Macaca mulatta: one gene and its partner. The protein of the gene in region 1 interacts with the protein of each later gene in a pairwise test. Links are inferred from orthologs where the notes say so. Each region holds a gene or a part of one and is shown in the gene's direction. Other genes may lie near its edges.

Region 1 (4,124 bases):
CAAAGGGAAAAATACACAACGTCAGATTTTTGTTTTACATCTTCACTTCAACTTCTTGCCTGGTTTCTAGGCCTTTGAATCCTTCTTAGTTCTAGCAATGACACAGTAGTTATCCTTGGGGGTGGGAGATTTGGTGGTAGTCAAGGTGAAGAAATAGCTTCTGCAGTTGAAAGAAGCTGATGTTGAGAATAGGCTTTATACTTCATAGTGGGGTTGATCTTAGAAAAATGACTTCACATCTCTTGTCCTCAATGGCTTATTTATTTATTTTATAAAATTAAGAGTACCCACCTCCCAGGTTGGAAGTAAAGATTAAAAGGTATCACTGCTCAATCCCCTAGCTCATAGGGTGAAGGCTCATGACTGATTTTAGAATCAAGGAAGCAAAGTATGAAGAGAGCCCACAGAGGCTCTGATCACTCAATGTTCTTTGGCTTTCATGAGTTCTTTTCTCAAAGTTCTTATTTGAGGTTCAGTAAGATTATTGCTCATTTCTTTTTGTTTTTTTCTGGCTTCTTGAGCTTGCCTTCTTGGTCGAGATAAGCCATGGTTTTTGGAGTCATCCTCATTTTCATAAGCTTCTCAGATACCTTGTTTGAAACATCACATCTATCCAAGTTACAGTTGTTCCCCAATGACAGGAACTGTTCTGTGCTTAACCAACTATATGTCAAGTGTCAGCAAGGTGCCTGACAAATGGGACATAGCTAGGGGATGTGTGTTGAGTGAATGGATTCATCTAAGTCTTGTTGCTCCTCAAAGTGAGTCTGAAAGGCAACCAACTAAAGAAAGAAGAAATGTAGGACTTCTTGATAACCCAAGGCCGTAACATCCACCAATACCAAGACTTAGTTTCTTCCTTGGATAGGGAAGGCTGGTTGAGTCTTAACCCAAGTGAGAACCATTGCCATTACAAGGGTTAGTCCTCCTGCTACACCACTGACCAACAGGAAAGTTTGTGTCTCCAGAGTGGAGACATCCATAAAGAGGCCAAACCCAGTCAAGGTCTAAGCATCTGATGGCTAAAATAACTTTGCTTCTTTGAAAAATAATAAAAACCTTCTGACCTCCCACCAGCAGCCAACCTGATTTCAAAGAGCCAAGAGGCATCTCAGATTCGTCAACATTCCTTTAATGAGCTGAGAAACTTTTCATGGTAAACTCAGCAGCTGAGTAACAGGATGATGGCACCACAACAGGTAGATAATCAAGGCAGGAGGTCAAAGCATTGGAGCCAACACCCACCCAGGACGGGGTATAAAAGGGCTGGGAGGAGAGGAGACCTCAGTCTCAGTGGCTCGGCGTTCCCAGCTGATCTGAAGCTCCTGTGCAGTCTCAGCCCTACACCATGACCTCCTCCTACAGCAGCTCCTCATGCCCTCTGGTTTGCACCATGGCTCCTGGAGCAAGAAATGTCTCTGTCTCTCCCATCGACGTTGGGTGCCAGCCCGGGGCAGAGGCCAACGTTGCCCCCATGTGCCTTTTGGCCAACGTGGCACATGCCAACCGAGTCCGCGTGGGGTCGACTCCCCTGGGCCGCCCCAGCCTCTGCCTGCCCCCAACCTGCCACAATGCTTGTCCCTTGCCAGGGACCTGTCACATTCCTGGCAACATTGGAATCTGTGGGGCCTATGGTGAAAACACCCTGAATGGCCATGAGAAGGAGACCATGCAGTTCCTGAACGACCGCCTGGCCAACTACCTGGAGAAGGTGCGCCAGCTGGAGCGGGAGAACGCGGAGCTGGAGGCCACACTCCTCGAGAGGAGCAAGTGCCACGAGTCCACTGTGTGCCCGGACTACCAGTCCTACTTCCGCACCATCGAGGAGCTCCAGCAGAAGGTGAGGTGTGGGATCACTTGGGCGTGCTGGGTCTGAGAAGGCAGAAGCCTTCGCAGGAGGAATCCACATAAGGTCCAGAGAGCTTTGGGTTCTTGGTTTCTCTTGGACATGAGCGTAGACACCACACGTGGAGTGGGAGCTTAGAGTATGATGCTTTGTGTGTGAACCGTCTTTCCGTTTTCCTCAGATCCTGTGCAGCAAGGCCGAGAATGCCAGGCTGATTGTACAAATTGACAATGCTAAGCTGGCTGCCGATGACTTTAGGATCAAGTAAGTCAGGTGGAGGAGGGCCAGGGTGACTCCCTCCCCACCCTCCATCCCAGTGCCCAAATACTTGTTGAGTGAGTGAATGTTTGTCCTGTCTTCCTTGCTAGATTCTCCACAGTAAAATTTTCATTACAATCAAAGCTGATGAAAGATGGAAGGGAAAACTCCTCATTAATCCAAGCATATATGTTTGTCCTCCTTCATTTATTTCCCTAAAATGGAGGATAAGGGAGCCTGAGTTCATTCACCAGGAGCAAAATGAGGGGATTTCAAGGATGAACTGAGCAAGACAGCCATTGGGTTTCATATATAAGTCAGAGAAGTCGTTTACAGATGAGTCTTTGTTCAGATTTAATTATGGAGCCCTAAGGTACCAGGCATAAGGTACCTAGGCAAAAATGAGAGAGGGGAAGACAGCTGAAAAGTAAGGCATAAGGAGCCGCAGATCACGATCAGGCACCTGGCTATTGCTTATCTTTGGTAACTGACAGTCCCCGCAATGGCACGAGTGTTGGTCCCAAGATGCATGATCTTAGGCAAGTCAGTTCATCTTCCTGAACTGCAGTTGCCACAGAATACAATGGCAAAAATGTATATTGTGCAATGTAGTGTTGTGATTGCTTCATTAGACCATGAGCTCTTTGAGAAGGGGGGCTGTGTCTAATTCACCTTCGAGGCCAGAGGGCTAAACAGTGAACAAATGAGGATCCAAGGTGGTGTGGGAGGTAGGAAGGCAGGGCAGCCGAGAGGGGCTCTTGGGGCATTCTTGTTGACCCTGTACCTCCCGTGATGGAAGGCTGGAGAGTGAGCGCTCCCTACGCCAGCTGGTAGAGGCGGACCAGTGTGGGACGCAGAAGCTCCTGGATGACGCGACCCTGGCCAAGGCTGACCTGGAGGCCCAGCAGGAGTCCCTGAAGGAGGAGCAGCTGTCCCTCAAGAGCAACCATGAGCAGGTGTGGCCCTGGCTGCTCAGACTCCCGGGGAGGGTGCTGGGCAGACAGGGGAGCTCCCTGGCCCCGGGGCTCTCAGAGCATTGTCTGGGCTCAGCTGGTATCAGGATGCAGGACTGAGGGGGGTCTGAGGGTCCAGAGGGCCTCTGTGGAAAGTGCAGACTTGCCTTGGGCACGAGGAAGGTGTCCAGGTGGGCTCTCCCCACTGCACTCTCAGCAAGACTTTCCCATTTGCTTGTGTGTGGGACTCCCCTCCCACTGCTTGCAGGGTCAGGGTCCTGGTGCTGTCTGCTCCATCAAAGGTCCTCTCTTCACACAGGCTGTCTGTCCCTTCCTCCTTTCTGCAGGAAGTAAAGATTCTGAGGAGTCAACTGGGGGAGAAGCTCCGGATTGAGCTGGACATTGAGCCCACCATTGACCTGAACAGGGTGCTGGGGGAGATGCGGGCTCAGTACGAGGCCATGGTGGAGACCAACCGCCAGGATGTAGAACAGTGGTTCCAAGCCCAGGTGAACGAGGGGTGGGTACAGAGCTGGAGAGTACCTGGCCTCCATCTGGGCAGGGAGGTGACTATGTCTCTCTGTGCTCTAGTCTGAAGGCATCAGCCTGCAGGCCATGTCCTGCTCTGAGGAGCTGCAGTGCTGCCAGTCGGAGATCCTGGAGCTGAGATGCACGGTGAATGCCCTGGAGGTGGAGCGCCAAGCCCAGCACACCTTGGTATGTGTCCTTCACCCTCACTGCACTGCAAATGCCCCATGCCATGGCCTAGTAGCCTTTTATTTTGGAGGTCTCACCGCCCAGGTTTCTCCCACCTGTTATCACCATCAAAATTTGGAGCATGTAGCAGTTTCCCTGGGGCCCTTGCACATTTTATCCCCTTATTTCCCACTACAGAAGGACTGTCTGCAGAACTCCCTGTGTGAAGCTGAGGACCGCTTCGGCACGGAGCTGGCCCAGATGCAGAGCCTCATCAGCAACGTGGAGGAGCAGCTGTCCGAGATCCGGGCTGACCTGGAGCGGCAGAACCAGGAGTACCAGGTGCTGCTGGACGTGAAGGCTCGGCTGGA
Region 2 (3,648 bases), on another chromosome or scaffold:
GATGACTGCAGTAGGGCTCAGGAATAGGCTGCCAGGAAAGGAGGCAGAGTGGACAGAGAGGTCAAATGGGAGGTCAGGGGGGCCAGATCAAGTAGGACCAACAATACCTGGAACAACAGCTTAATAAGTGTAATGCTGAGAACAAGGTGGTGACTCTGGAGGGGCCTTTGCAGGGGAGGGAAGGAGGTCCTGGAGTGGTCAGCTGAGCCTTTAGACCTCAGATAGAATACTCAGTGGACTCCCCCTCAACACACATACCTTTTTCCAGTTTCTGCTGCCGTCAAATGGTGAAAGCCCACGTGTGATTAAGGGGCGGGAGCCCCTGTAACAAAAACATTGATCTGTGTATTTTTGCCCTAAGCTTGGCAGCTGCAGGGTTGTCCTACTGCTGTAGATTTTGTGCCAACATCCGGTCACAGCTTCTGTATGGCTAGTTTGTGAGTCACCCCGAACCTGGTGACAGTGAGGTCAAGATTTGGACCAGGTAGCTTTGCTCTACTTCTTGGCCACAGGCTTCTTTGTGAATGCAGCTGTCTGTCTCAGAGCTGGGTGCTGTAGCCACAGGGCCAACTAGATAGCACCTGTGGCCCCATCACTGCCAGGAGCAAGGGCACATCCAACTTGGTGATGGCCCAGAAAGGTCAGTTTTGATTTAGTGTAGCACAAACTTACTTATTGTTTATTCTCATTCTTAATCTAATCTTGTGTTTTCACACACAAAAAAAAACAAAAAACAAAACAAAACAAAACACGGTAACACAACAAAACCTCGTCAAGATTGCAGAGGAGTTCTAAAGTTCCAGAATGAGCATAACTGATCAAAGTCCCCTAGGGTCAGAACTGCCCTTGACAGTCCCTTAGGAAGGTACCTTGTTGGACACCGCCCCAGTCAGTCAGTAAGTCCTCACTGCCAGCGTTTCCTCCAGCATTAGAACTATCATGGCTGCTTTGGTTAAACACCGATGGACTAGTTCTCAAACCTGTCTTTAGACGGCAGGTCACGCTTAATATAGTCAGAGAAATGCTCATGCCATGAGAAGCACGCAGGAACCAAGACCAGCTGAAGAACAAAAACCTCACATCTCCCAGCTTGCACACACGTTAGGGTTCTGTGGGAATTGCCTTTTTTTCTTGTTTCCTTCTCTCCGCCACACAAACTCACTTTGTTGAATCTACAGAAGTTAAATCTGTATGTATAGTTTCACTGTGCTTTTTTTTTTTTTTGTATCTGAGTGTCTCATAAAGCAGGGATTCTCTTAGTTGGCCAAGAAAGTGCTGTTTAGGGAAGAAACATTATCTTGAGGCAGACTTTTTCAGTGCTACTTTTAAATCCTTTTTTTTCTTTTCTTTTGTTTTTTTTTTTTTGAGACGGGAGTCTTGCTGTGTTGCCCAGGCTAGAGTGCAATGGCATGATCTCAGCTCACTGCAAACTTCCACCTCCCAGGTTCAAGCGATTCTTCTCCTGCCTCAGCTTCTTGAGTAGCTGGGATTATAGGTGCGTGCCACCACGCCCAGCTAATTTTTGTATTTTTAGTAGAGATGGGGTTTCACCATGTTGGTCAGGCTAGTCTCAAACTCCTGACCTCGTGATCCACCAGCTTTGGCTTCCCAGAGTGCTGGGATTACAGGTGTGAGCCACCGCGCCTGGCTTGAATCCTTTTCTTCTTAAGAGACAAAATCTCACTCTGTCACTCAGGCTGGAGTGCAGTGGTGTGATCATAGCTCACTGCAGCCTCAAACTCCTGGCCTCAAGTGATCCTTCTGCCTCAGCCTCCCAAGTAGCTAGGACTGCAGGTGTGTGCCACCACACCAGGCTAATTTTTAAAAACTTTTTGTAGATGGGGGGGTCTTGCTGTGTTGTCCAGGCCAGTCTTGAACCCCTGGGCTCAAGCAGTTCTCCTGTCTTAGCCTCCCAAAGTGCTGGGATTACAGGCATGAGCCACTGGATCCAACTTAAATGCTTATTTTTGAGGTAATCTGTCAGAAAATAAAAAAGATTTAACAGAGATTATTAAATTATTTTGAGGAAGAAGTCACAATTCTAAGCGTTGGGTGTTCTTATAAGCAAGTGTTTTTATTTAAAAAAAAAAGCATTTAAAAAAGCGATACAGCAAAGTGGTTATATTGTAGGCATCAGTGTATTCCTACCATATTAAATAACAAATCCATGTGTCATCATGCTATGGGATTGTAGTTGAAACTTGGGATAAAGTTTCTAGGGTTGTCTCATTAAAAATTCAGGTATGGCACTGTGGACATACTGTCCTGAGAATGCGGGAAGAGCTGTGGTCAGCTGTAGGACTCAAGATCTAGTGTTGGGAAAGATGCTGATATCCTCGTGAAATGTGAAGCACGGAAGAAGCCTAATTAATATACTCTTTTAAATGATAGGTGATTTAAAACTATTTGTACATAACTGAATTCATACAATAAATACTATAGACGTTTGCTTACTTCAACCCTAGAAGTTTAGGTGGCCACAAATTTTTTTTTCCTCCTCATTGGAGAAAATTGCAATTGAGTAAATTTTGAGATTGCCTTGTATTTGTCGCTGTTTGGTTTGTGAGTAAAAGTAGCAGATACGGCAGGAGGTGCTAAGCTACTGTCAAGGGAGGAGTAGAGGGGCTTTCCAGAAGGGCAGGAGAAGAGAACGGGCACTGAATGGCCCGGGGAGTCAGGGCAGACTTGCTGGAGGAGGTGACACCCAATCTACCTGAAGGGCGGGTAGATTTAGTTAGGTGGAGTTTACAGAGGAAGTGTCAGAGAACGTGTCCCAGGGCCAAACCAAGCGATAGCCCTTTGGGAACACTGCAGATGCTGCAGTAGGGCTCAGGACTAGGCCGCAAGGGAAGGAGGGTGGACTCTGGAATAGAAGTCAAGTGGGAAGTCAGCAGGGCCAGAACAAGTAGGATCCAGAACAACACTCTGCTGGGTTTAATGCTGGCACAGGGCCGAGGTTTCATGCTGAGAACAGGGCAGCGACTCTGGAGGGGAGGGAGCAGGGGAGAGAGGTCCTGGAGTACTGGTCCAGGAGCTGCCATCTGCAGTGGTGTAAAGAAAGGACTGAGAGCCCCATTGCCTCCTGGACAGGGCTGAAATTGTGGGCCAGCTGCCCTGTGAGCTGGTACTCAGTGCACTTGTGCTCTTGCTTTGTTCCAGGTGTGGACACTGCCAGCGGCTGCAGCCAACTTGGAATGACCTGGGAGACAAATATAACAGCATGGAAGATGCCAAAGTCTATGTGGCTAAAGTGGACTGCACGGCCCACTCCGATGTGTGCTCCGCCCAGGGAGTGCGAGGATACCCCACGTAAGTCGGAAGAAAGGTGGTTCCCAGGTGGTTCCTGGTTACAAAGAAGGTCCTAAACTTTTGGTAAAGGAGTGAAGAGATACTAAATTTAAGGAGGCAGTCCCTGTCATTAGGGAGAAATTGCATTTAACGCTGTGTCTATTTCAGATGCCTTTCGTACTCTGGATAACCTTTAATTCATCAGTGTTGGGTTTTCGTGTTTATAAGAGAATGTGTTTGCAAGACGAAAATGGTGGCCCCGCCATGCTAGATGTTCACTGGTACATTTTACACAGTGTGCGTAGACTGTCATCAATTTTGGCTTGCTTGTTCTAGTGACTCTTATTCGCAAACACCCTT

The links.
Region 2: the proteins of keratin, type I cuticular Ha8 (region 1) and TXNDC5 interact in a two-hybrid assay, tested with the Homo sapiens proteins (2 studies listed by BioGRID and IntAct). The link is inferred for Macaca mulatta from reciprocal best matches to the Homo sapiens genes KRT38 and TXNDC5.

The regions. Positions count from the first base shown.
Region 1 is NC_133421.1:65,782,022-65,786,145, reverse strand, and holds the start of keratin, type I cuticular Ha8, read left to right. Parts: upstream 1-1,286; 5' UTR 1,287-1,348; coding exon 1,349-1,840; intron 1,841-2,027; coding exon 2,028-2,110; intron 2,111-2,903; coding exon 2,904-3,060; intron 3,061-3,404; coding exon 3,405-3,566; intron 3,567-3,648; coding exon 3,649-3,774; intron 3,775-3,951; coding exon 3,952-4,124.
Region 2 is NC_133409.1:175,276,614-175,280,261, forward strand, and holds part of TXNDC5 (thioredoxin domain-containing protein 5), read left to right. Parts: intron 1-3,159; coding exon 3,160-3,309; intron 3,310-3,648. UniProt on the Homo sapiens protein: Protein disulfide isomerase of the endoplasmic reticulum lumen involved in the formation of disulfide bonds in proteins. Can reduce insulin disulfide bonds.